3 linked regions of the Bombyx mori genome follow. The protein of the gene in region 2 interacts with the protein of the main gene of each other region in a biochemical or structural test. Links are inferred from orthologs where the notes say so. Each region holds a gene or a part of one and is shown on either strand. Other genes may lie near its edges.

The links.
Region 1: of the proteins of armadillo segment polarity protein (region 2) and glycogen synthase kinase-3 beta, one has a biochemical effect on the other in vitro, tested with the Drosophila melanogaster proteins (2 studies listed by BioGRID). The link is inferred for Bombyx mori from reciprocal best matches to the Drosophila melanogaster genes arm and sgg.
Region 3: of the proteins of armadillo segment polarity protein (region 2) and CKIalpha, one has a biochemical effect on the other in vitro, tested with the Drosophila melanogaster proteins (2 studies listed by BioGRID). The link is inferred for Bombyx mori from reciprocal best matches to the Drosophila melanogaster genes arm and CkIalpha.

The regions. Positions count from the first base shown.
Region 1 is NC_085124.1:8,499,883-8,503,617, reverse strand, and holds part of glycogen synthase kinase-3 beta, read left to right. Parts: intron 1-261; coding exon 262-321; intron 322-1,262; coding exon 1,263-1,373; intron 1,374-3,146; coding exon 3,147-3,384; intron 3,385-3,735.
Region 2 is NC_085116.1:12,303,106-12,307,180, forward strand, and holds the start of armadillo segment polarity protein, read left to right. Parts: upstream 1-1,275; 5' UTR 1,276-1,416; intron 1,417-1,463; exon of another isoform or gene 1,464-1,660; intron 1,661-1,702; 5' UTR 1,703-1,733; coding exon 1,734-1,770; intron 1,771-1,842; exon of another isoform or gene 1,843-2,010; intron 2,011-2,445; coding exon 2,446-2,570; intron 2,571-3,426; coding exon 3,427-3,532; intron 3,533-3,661; coding exon 3,662-3,872; intron 3,873-4,003; coding exon 4,004-4,075. Other genes in the region: uncharacterized protein LOC101744306, read right to left, coding at 1-75. UniProt on the Drosophila melanogaster protein: Isoform neural may associate with CadN and participate in the transmission of developmental information. Can associate with alpha-catenin.
Region 3 is NC_085132.1:9,600,247-9,604,778, forward strand, and holds the start of CKIalpha (casein kinase I alpha), read left to right. Parts: upstream 1-1,724; 5' UTR 1,725-1,867; coding exon 1,868-1,990; intron 1,991-4,532. UniProt on the Drosophila melanogaster protein: Casein kinases are operationally defined by their preferential utilization of acidic proteins such as caseins as substrates. Can phosphorylate a large number of proteins. Negative regulator of wg signaling.

The sequences.
Region 1 (3,735 bases), on a different chromosome or scaffold from region 2:
AAGAATTATTATTATTGTAAGGAGATTCGCGCTTATTTAAGCCTATTCCTTTGAGCAACAACATCTTATTTACTGTGTATCTTACTAGAGTATAATTTCTAGACAGCTTGCTTGTCAATATAACATTTAGAAGCGAGATCTGTTTATAAGCCCTTTTATTGTGTATAAGTATTGTGAGAAACTAGGATTAAATGAACGTTAAATTTCGTTCTGAAACGTTTCGTAACTAAGGATTATGTTTTGTGTTTTATTTTGGGGAAGGCGGCAGTGCCCGCAGCAGTCAGTTCTCTGTTAAACGCAATGCAGACCCTTGATGTCACAGTATGTTTATGAATAAATAAAATTGTTACGCTAGTGTGCTATCGCACAATTTAGGCCTGCCAAATCGATTCATGGTTACCGACCAATATTTTCAAAATTAATAGGTTACAACAGTTTTAATTGTGCCACATTAAATAGTGAAAATGTGACGTATCACGCGCTTCCTGTCTTATCGACGTGAATGATATAAAATAATCACGACTAACAACTGCTCTAACAATTTTCTATTCCATTTCAGTCTTCATTCATCGAAACTAATTTGTTCACTAACAAGCCGTTTCTCCTTAAAATATTGACCGGTAACCTCCAAACGCCAATAAAACATTGTGCATAATAAATTGAGACCAATCTTAATCTATCACGAATCGTCAGTTTCCAGTTAAGTGCTTTTACATCACAATCCATTGAACACGTCGGGACATTTATCATGTTTTTTGATCATTAGTCTTGTCTGAATTTAACCGCTGTTTGCTTGTATTCTTTTTGACATGGGCTTTTAAAGCGACACGGCCATTTATGTAATAATTATTGGCACATTAAAATCATTCATTGAAAGAAAAGTCAAAACATCTCTAGTTCAATAAGGCCATCAATGTAAATGGTATAAAATTACTTGTAATAACTATTTGCAGAATAACCAGAGAAGACCCAGTATTTATTAAAGCCAAACGAAATCATTAGTTTTTTCACTTTTTAATATGAAAATTTTAATCTAAAATTTAATTATCTAACATTAAGTTTTACCAAAAAGAAATCATGCTATATCGATTCTCATAAACAAAATCACTTATTGCTAAAAACAAATTTGTGGTCAACCACAAAGTCAATCTGAGTAAAATCAATCTAAAATATATTATTTCGAATAAAAAGTTATCGTAATAGGTAAAGTGCTATCTATCATCTTGCAACATTGACATAGGTACAACTAATAATGATTTCAGAAAGACGAAGTGTACCTGAATTTGGTGCTGGAGTACATACCCGAGACCGTGTACAAAGTGGCGCGTCATTACTCCAAAGACGAACAAACCATACCCATTAGTTTTATAAAGGTAAGTATGCATGGTAAATTCTTCAATTAGGTGTGAAGGACCAAATACAGTGTCTCGATTTGAAAAAGTATTCGTGCTATTGTAACACCTTGTAAGTCCATATATACATATAGATCTTCAATGAATAATATTATATTGGTCAATATGTTAGAATACAATTAAACTATTTTTTCAAATGAACTTATTTTTTAGAAAATACTAACTATAATTTGCCACTTCATTACGGATCTTCAAGATCCATTAACGGTGCTTTTAGGCATCTCAAGAACCGGTCAAGAACCCGTTTCTTGCGAAGAGGGCTCGGCGAGTAAGTTAACCCATAGACACAGCCCACTGAGTTTCTCGCCGGATCTTCTCAGTGGGTCGCGTTTCCGATCCGATGGTAGATTCTGCAAACCACTGCTAAGGTCAGTGTTAGTAACACTTCCGGTTTGAGCCCCGTGAACCTACACGTTAGTCCTTAGGAAGAAAAAAAACTATAATATGATACTTATTGGGGTGGGCTACTACTCGTCACGCTGATCGCAAAAGTCAGTTACGAGAATCGTTTCACTTTTCCACGTTATTAATGTTTTTTCCCTCTTTTTATTGCATTGATCGGTCAGAGAACTTACGGCCCATCTGGTATTAAGGAGTTACCGGAATCCATCACACCGTAAATGTCGTGATCCACCTTGAGACATGATTTCGAAGTCTTAGTTTTATTGTATAACAACTATCTCACCTTTCAAACACTTGACTGCTTTGCAGTGGGAATAGAGCGGATGGTGGTACCTATCTGTGTGGGCTCACTATAGGCCCTAGCACTAGTAATTACGCAAATTTATGAATGTTTTATCGGTGAATTTCTATTACACGACATCATCCCTTCAAGTACGTATTACTTAAGAAAAAAATTGCCTGCGGGTTCTGCATAAGTCTAATCGTTTGATACGTGGCTTCTTTTGTTCATTAGGTCACGGAGACTAAAACTTTTATATTTGGCATTTATTTGAAGACTTTACTCTGTGTAAACAGTGTAGACAATGTAAGGGAACTACCCCCTAACCCAAGTAAACGATTTAGTGAACACTCAATGTAAAGGGTATACGTACAATGTTTGGGTCTTTAAATTATTTGTCATTGCGTGTTCACTACTTCACGGGAGAGGTTGCATTACATTTTGTAACTAGCGACCCGCCCTCGCTTCGCTTCGGAAACTGTAATTTGTTATTGATTTCTCCACTATTTAATGGTTGTTATTATACATATAAACCTTCCTCTTCAATCACTATCTATTAAAAAAACCGCATCAAAATCCGTTGCGTAGTTTTAAAGATTTAAGCATACATGAGTCGACTATTATCAAAGTCGGCAATCTGACTTTTGGACAATGATTGGTAAACCAAAAAAACGAATTATTGACTTTGTATTCCTTTGGCAGTCACAAAACTCTTCGGAACGACATCTTAGATAAATAACAGGTTAACTATTAACCTTTATTTAATGCAGGTTTTGAACCGTATTCTTTGAAGGAGACGATTATATTCAAATCAATCTGTATTGACATATCAATAAATTTTTTTTGTCCAAATGCACAGATTGCCACCTTTGATAATAGACGACTCACATAGGGACAGACAGATATAGAGACAGAAAAAGCGACTTTGTTTTATACTATGTAGTAATAACAAGTAGTTCTTTTTTTTTAATGATAGTCTATAATAATACATATATACATTTTAGGTTAGTCCTCATTTATATGTTTGTGTAATGTAGTAATATTTTTCGCAGCTGTACATGTACCAGCTGTTCAGAAGTCTGGCGTACATTCATTCTTTGGGCATCTGTCACCGAGATATCAAGCCGCAGAACCTATTGCTTGACCCCAAGACTGGAGTGTTGAAGCTGTGCGACTTTGGCTCGGCGAAGCACCTCGTTCGCGGAGAACCAAACGTTTCCTACATATGTTCGCGTTATTACCGCGCTCCGGAGCTCATCTTTGGCGCCACCGACTACACCACGAAAATTGGTACGTTTCTTATATCTATTATATAACTAATTGGACCTACGAAGTCGTCGTGGCCTAAAAGATAAGACGTCCGGTGCATACGTGTTGAACGATGCACCGGTGTTCGAATCTCAGGCGGCTACCAATTTTTCTAATGAAATAGTGTACTCAACAAATGTTCACGATTGACTTCCACGGTGAAGGAATAACACCGTGTAATAAAAATCAAACCTGCAAAATTATAATTTGCGTAATTACGGGTGGTAGGACCTCTTGTGAGTCCGCACGGGTAGGTACCACCACCCTGCCTATTTCTGCTGTGAAGCAGTAATGCGTTTCAGTTTGAAGGGTGGGGCAGCTGTTGTAACTATA
Region 2 (4,075 bases):
CGTATTTATTCGAGGTTTTCTTGCTTCACAACGGTCGGTGTTATTGAAATACCATAAAAAATATGCACAAATCATCCATTTGAGTCTACGATTTGACAGGTGCTTCTTTTAAACGAACTTTGAAAAAAGTCCCGATAAGCAGAAGATCTTGGCAATTTCAATCCATAATAATACTATTCAATGCGAAAGTGGGATTGGTGGTTTGTTGCGCTTTCATGTTTTAACTACCCAGCTGGTCAAGACGAAATTTTTCGTACAAATTGTAAGATTACAAAATAACAAAAAGAAAATTAGCTCGGAGAAATCACACATGTTCAGTTGGCCCCAAACTAGATAAATAAATACATAGCTATACCTTTAAAAGTACGTTTATAACATTTAAAATGGCTCAATACTTTCATTCATTTATACGGATATCAACATCCAAACAAATAGTAAACAAATCTGTTCATCACACTAATGTTTACCTGATCTGGGAATCGAACCCACGATATTTTTTTGCTTTTGATGCCAACAAAAAATCTGAAAGTAATATCGCCATCGCATTCACGGCCACGGAACTTGTATGACATTATTTCGTGCATTGATCTTGAAGCAGGATTCTGCCTACTATGTTGCTTCGAAATAATTTTGTACCTAGAAATATTTTCACATAAGTTGATAAAGATACCTGATAAAATCAACCGCCTTTAATCTAAAAACTTAAATATTAGCTAGTAACCAATATAGACCTAGGGATCTAGACAAAGTGTGCTCTTAAATATTAAGTACATATATTATCTGTGAATGTACTAGCGTTAATGTGAATATTAGATATGTAAATACAGAAGTACCGTATTTATTATATTTAATTTTAAGGAATTGACATAATAAATAATAATTACCTATGCTAACGAAACGTCACGTGGTCTAACTCATGTCAATCCCTTAAAATCATACCCGTCCGGGCATAGCTGGAATAAGACCTCAGGTACCTTCAGACAGGGAGTAGACTCAGTGGTCAAGGCTCAGGTACATCAGGTTTTTTAAAACTAGGTCATTTAATATAATAATATGACGTAACAATTATGTAAAATTATTATCTGCTGTATAAAAAAGTTACAAATCAATTAGGCATCATTAAAAAAATACAAATCTGCGTGCCACGAATCGTATTGTTTACAATTTATCCCTGAACTTTATGTTGGCACCCCGAGCCTTTGAAGAAAAAATGAGATAAAAGCATATGCAATACCTTAGAGCGAACGAAGTAGCAATACTAGTGTCAGCTGCATTTGAAAGTAAACGAAATTCGACGAGTCTCCGCCATGTTGTTGTATGAATCGAGTGACGGTGGGTCGGATATTGTGCATTTAATTTGTAAAAATTATTTAAAAGTCGTGAAAACAGTTAATCTGTTTGGCTTGCACGGCCAAGGTAAGTTTTATTCGCATTAATTTTAATTAAATAATGATATTAGTCACCTTAATATCTCGACCAGTACAAGTTATTTTATGGGGTCGGGTGTGGTGTTCGGTATTTAGTTCATGGTGCACTTATTTGTTTTGTTTTCCGCTGTTCCAAAAGTATTTCCTAGTGGGAAGCATTAAATAAATGCAAATGTTTATGTGATTAAGTTCTAATGTGAACCATGCTTTAATTCTTATGAATCGATCGATAACGTACAAAGCGGAGACATGTTTTATGGTATTTTTTACAACAGGGGACGGGTGCATCGTCGCATCGTCTAAATCATGAGTTATCAAATTCCATCATCGCAAAGTCGCACAAGTAAGTAATTTATATTGATTCTTTTGTAAATGTAAATTTATCATATCATTGCCATTCAAAAAGCTTGAGTACTTACTGAACGCTGTTCAAACCACTTACTTCGATACAATTGAATGAATCGGTTTGTGTCTATCGTGACTCATGCATATGGCATTACTTGAACGATAAATTTATAAATGAACTTTAACTTTTCTGTATCTCAGTACATTCTCTGCTAAGTAGCAAAAGAAAAAGAAATCCTAAAACACGAAAACATTGGAATTGAAACTGAGGGAAAAAATTACATTTTGAATCATACATTCTCAGTTCATTTATTTGAAAACAATTTTTAAACAAATTGCAAATAAATTAGATTAAAAGGAAATTTGAAATATAATTTGTTATGATTTGAGAACTCTCAAAAAGGTTCTTCAATTAATGAAAATACAGGTATAACAAGATTAGGATTCAACATAATTGAAACTTCAATCTCTTGTCAAAAGACGTGGAGTTCACATTAATGGCATAAAGTAACCACTTTATTTTAGTTTAAGTTTAGCTCCTGCAACTACTTACTAATTCTCTTTATGTTCGCTTGAAATTAAACCCATACTACCCCTTACATTCCTACAGAAATATATATATATCTCTCTGTTTTGTGTGAATAAAAAACGAGAAAACATCATTATTTTACAGTGTCGCACAGCAGCTATGTTGCTTCTGATGTGCCAATGGCACCAAACAAAGAGCAGCAGACATTGATGTGGCAGCAAAACTCCTATTTAGTGGACTCTGGAATCAACTCTGGAGCTGCTACCCAGGTAATGTTATCAGACTGTCTATTATAAAATACAGCAGTAATATTGTCCTATTTCATTATAAAAATTGGATTAAAATAAAATACGGCTTGTCTTCTTAATTTAACATAATTTTGGGATGGACACAACTGAAAATCTATCTTTATCAATACAACAACATAAGTCATTCAATATACAAAATAATGATGAAGTTTGATTAAATTTTTTATTATGATGACACTTCATAATATGAGATACCTGAACTACGTGTGCTCTAAACCTTGCTGATTTTATCATGGAACTTTTAACTGTTAAACGTAGAATGATCTAAAGAAAAAGAAAAAACATTTTCTGTCTCATTTAGTCGTGACTGAACCATACAAACTAGCAGTTTGAAAATTACTTCTGCATATTAAATAGATTTTGAATTGAACTGAGCAGTACTTTCATTAGTGAAATCTGTTATGGTATTTCATTGATTTTATCTGGCCTGTGTTCTTTAAGTAAGGACAGTAAATATGAGCAAAACACCATCCATTATAGTGTGAAGATATTCTTGCATTTTAGTTTTTAGAGTACACGTCAAGCCTTGTGTACTTCTTAATAGTTGTTTAAGCACTGATGAAACTAAAATCTTAGTATACAGCTCGAAAAGTAATATAAAATATCATAAAAATGCACAAAAGATCAGCTATAGTGATAATTGCTAACTTTTATTTGATATTTAAAAAATATTTTTTATTCCCAAAAGTACAAAAGATTTTTTATGAGAATACATAACCATACCTTTGTAACTTGACTGAGAGTGATAATCAGATGACTCCTACCTTTTTGAATAGTCACATCAATTTATTTTAGTTAAATGTATGATTCTCTTCAGGTTCCATCACTAACTGGCAAGGAAGATGATGAGATGGAAGGTGACCAACTTATGTTTGACCTTGATCAGGGTTTTGCTCAGGGATTCACTCAAGAACAAGTTGATGGTGAGTTGTTTCCCCATTTCATTTAGAAACGTTTGAATGTACAATATAGAAATAATTTTACACAAAAATTCTTATGACAATACAAGCTGTTTGGATTGTTGTATTCAATATCATATGCTTTACTTTCAGATATGAATCAACAGCTTTCTCAAACTAGATCTCAAAGAGTCCGTGCGGCTATGTTTCCTGAAACGCTGGAGGAAGGAATTGAAATTCCATCGACACAGCTGGATCCCGCTCAACCAACTGCTGTCCAGCGTTTAGCTGAACCTTCCCAGATGTTAAAGCATGCTGTGGTGAACCTCATCAATTATCAAGATGATGCTGATTTAGCTACCAGGTATAATTATGTAATATAATAGCCTAACACCAGATATTCTATCAGATCATCAGGCAACAAGCATGAAAAAAAAAACATTACACTATTATTATTCATTTGTTCTATTCCTATTGATTTTAAATTTGTTTCAGAGCTATTCCAGAGTTGATAAAGCTACTGAATGATGAAGATCAAGTAGTAGTATCCCAAGCTGCCATGATGGT
Region 3 (4,532 bases), on a different chromosome or scaffold from region 2:
TTTCCGATGTTTTGATTCTCCATGACGTAAAATGAGCACATTGCTCTGAGCAATTGTTTGAGATGATACCATCATCTCGTTTTTACCATCACACCGCCGGAGAAGAGTTCATCCATACTACCTGGCGCCACTGCGTTCATCCACAGTGTTTCCAGAGTTCTTTTTTGCTACGTACCATCCGGCTTTGGGATGAGCTCCCCTCCACGGTGTTTCCCGAGCGCTATGACAATCCTTCTTCAAACGAGGCTTGTGGAGAGTACATGACGGTAGGCAGCGGCTTGGCTCTGCCCCTGGCATTGCTGAAGTCCATGGGCGACGGTAACCACTCATCATCAGGTGATGCGTATGCTCGTCTGCCTACAAGGACAATAAAAAAAGTAGCACAGTTAAAATAAAAAAAAACGCTTCCCAGTGATATTATTATTTATGTGGTTTGCAAATGCTTGTGGGACCATCAACACACCCAGCGAGCGTTAGATATCTTAGCCGGTTATAGTGTTATATTGAGTCTTCGTTATCAAAGTGATCAATGGTGTTCACGATGCCTATTTACAGTAATAAAAAAAACATGATTGACGCAAAAGATTTAATGGTGATCGATATTAAAATCTAGTTCCAGTGATACAGACATCTATTTTTGAGCGTGCAAAAATATCATAACTAGGTATAAATATTTAAATAGATGTGGTCTAAGTTGCTGTCGCTAAAGTAAAAGAATAAAAAACGAGTACGGAGATATTTACGGAACTAAATATATATTTCCGTTATTGCCTCGCTGTAGTCCTCTGTCCTCTTGAGTAATAATTGATTTCAGTACGACACTGTCTGTACCTCCTCATCTAAACATGAAGGTCACTAGGTCACCTACTTTCGCAATGCAACGCAAACTTTTACAATATTGCAAACTCCTTTCTGACGTCACGCGCGGCACGTCACTTTTGCTCTCGTTCGGTGGGCTTGCTCATAGCCCACCTAGTGTTAAATGACGAAAACCATAGACATCGTCTCAAATTCTAGAACTTAAATCTTAGATGTCTTAAATTCTATTGTACGACTTTTCTACCTCACAATCAGAAATTAGTCATTATTATGATATCAACTCAAATAGTATCAGATTTTAGGAAAATCAGCTATTCCGATTTCGTAGGAAACATGATATATTTATCTATTCGCTAATGACTGAAGGAAGAAATAGTGTAAACTTAGTAATTGTCTACTGATCGTGATATACATAATTAAACATTGATGTTTAAAAACCAATAATACCGAACCAATAATGTTAGTACAACAGAGAATAAGTAAGAGTATTATTATAAAATTCTAAAAATATAGTACCTATTTGATTAATCCTTTTACAATGAGTTATTATTGCAAAAATAATTTAAAGATTGAAAAAAATCATTAACTTCAGAATAAAACCAAAGTAGATTTTGACAAAAAATTTAACATACGAAAAGTACAACTTTTGCTACACAAAAATATTTTTTACCGCTGGGCACACTACGCGTTCTGAAACTCCGTGAGAGAGCTGTGTTACGATTATTTTTTTACGGAAATAAATCAAGAACCCAAAGAATATTAAAATTAAAAGTCTATAATTACACACAATAGTTATGGACTACAAATAAATTATATTTTAACTTTTTTGTGTCTTTAAATCGCACACTATTTTTATTAAAGTGTAAAAACGGAGGTTAGACGATTTCAGAACGCACTCCATCCTCCATGTTTTGTGCTCCATTCAGCCACTGTCTTGTGAAATGTAGTTTAGAATTTTACCTCTGTTTCCATTCGGATTGTGCGTAATTTGTGATTTCATTATCATAATTTTGACTTTGTGCATTTGTTTTGTATCAAATACGTAAAAATGTCGTTCCCGTGGAGATCTCGTTCGGAAGTATTGATTTCTGGAAAATACAAGGTGTCGAAAAAGATCGGTGGTGGATCGTTCGGTGATATATATTTGGCTATCAACATCGGAACTGGCGAGGTAATTATGATTTCTATCCTTTTCATCATTAATATCTTATGTTAATCTAAAGGATTAAGGTCGGGTGCGTTGTTCCCACCGCGAGGGGGGGTGAGGCGCGTTTTGTCTACGATGACGTATCTAATAAACCCAGAAATGGTTTTATCAGTTCATGGCACATTTCGAATATTCTCATTAATTATAACCATATAGATAGACATTATTTCATTAATACTTTACCTCTAGGTTGTATGAAATTGGTTTTATTAAGATACATTTCATTTCCTGTGTTGTGTAGGTCACATCCACACTACGAATGAAACAATGCCTCTACCAAATATATTCAACCTACATACATCGAGGCGTTTATACCTATTACCGTATACAGAATTATATATCAATAATAACCAATCATTCTTTGTTAAAATTTAAAATTGATAAACAAAAAATGCTAATTATATATTAAAAGAAACTAAAATTGCACAATAAAGTTATGTAATTCGTCATATTAATGGGAAATTTCGTAAGAAATATTATATAAAGAAGTCTAGAAAAAAAGGCATTTGTTTGTTTGCAAAATTGTTTAAGTCACATTCAATTCTTTTCATTTAAAGATTTATAAATTTGTTAATAAGAATTATATTTCTCTAATCTTATATTTATAAAAAAACACAATTTACAAATAAAGAGTAAATGGTAAGAGTTACAGAAAAAAGTCACATTTTCTTAGGTTTCCCGCTGCTTTACAGTGTCCTTTTCTTTTTGCTTATGATTGTTTATTATAGGATTAACATTGTAAAAGTATATGGTTGCCAATGGTAACGTTATGATACAAAGGTATTGAGAAGAAAATGTTTTATTTGCATTAACTGACACTCAATTCAAAACTAAATCAAGAACGAAACATTTGATATTAAAATTAAAAAGATTAAGCTTATTCATGTAGCTATGAATCAAAGCTAAATTCAGGGATATATTGAACATAATTTAGGTGAGGTTGTTAAGAGAGTTTTAACTTTTTTAGAGTGAGTGTTTAAGAGTGAGTGAAGAAATGGTATATAATAGAGGAGTATGGAAGGAGAAAACATGTTGCGCTGACCCAGGTGACTAGGGAAGGGCCGAAGAATAATGATTGGACATAATTTAATAGAATGTGTATCACTTCAAAACAATAGAGACATTGACCCCAATTTCAAGGATCCTGAAAATGGATTGTTATAAGCTTACCTAACAATTTAGTTTAAAATAAATGTATTCCACATCTTGTAAGTTTATATTTCGTTACCCATATGAAGAAACCTTTTAACCTTTTTTTGGGGCAATGAAGCTCAGGGAATGTTAATTAAATATTGTCTATCCTTCATAACAGAACAAATAATATTTGTATATATAAAGTACTATAGTTACCTGTCAAGGCAAGCTCGTAGGTGCATAGTTTTCAATTGAGGGATGTACCCTATGTCTCAAATTAATCTGCCCAAGTTATTAGGCAAACTGGTCAATGATAATTTCACTTCATATACTGAGGTTGAAGCCCTTATTCTTTTAGGATAGTAATGGTCTTACTCTCCTAATTCGAAACCATGATAAGCAGTTGTATGGTTGTTTTGTTTGCAGGTAGTGAAATAGTAACCACTATATCAGTGTATCATTGATAGTGATCTGTGTTTTAAGCGAACTGTATATCTTTTGATCTGCATGTGTGTAGGTTCAGATATCCTGATGCTTCAGAAAATTTTAGTATCCTTAGAGGCTAGAGATACTAACAATTTCTGTTTCTTCTTCATCTCACATTCTGTGGGGTCAGTATAGCAGGTCCCCAGACTTCCCCTTCTCACATTACTCTCTACTTCTATACCCACTTATTAATGATTTGTGTTTATATAACTTAAATTGACAATTGTACTACTAATACATATGACTTTTTTTTCTAATGAGATTCAGTCCACCGTAACAAGGTGTGACGTTATGCAGATACCGCTTTTCTTATGCTTAAATTTGTAAAGCAGTTCACAGCCCACCTGTTGTTAAATGAATACCAGAGCACATAGACATCAACAACGTCATCCACCTTGAGTTCTTAAGTCTCAGTTCTGCAGTATGATGACTGCACCACTCTATAAATGATCCGTCATTGGTACATCATGGTGAAAAAGGCGGGATAGTGCTTACTTCTCTTGCAGGGTTTTAAGACACCCTACCACCAGTAATTGCACAAAAAAATTTTTTTACAGGTTTTATTATTATTCTTTAATTTGTGGAAGTAATTTATAAATATGTGTTAAACAAATATTTCATTAGAAAATTTATCTTCAAAAGTTGACTGATCAATACTGAAGGCACCTTTAGAACATCAGACATAAATTACAATTCTATTCAAGGAATATCTATCGTAACATAAATTCCTATGAATCCAAAATGTATTATCTAAAGGAATAAAAATTGTGTGTGTTTAATGTGAATTAATAGTGAATGAGTTATTCATTTATGAAATAAATTTTGTGTAACAATACTTCTTTAAGGATATGCTATATTTGTTGTGCGATATACATGTTAATATTTT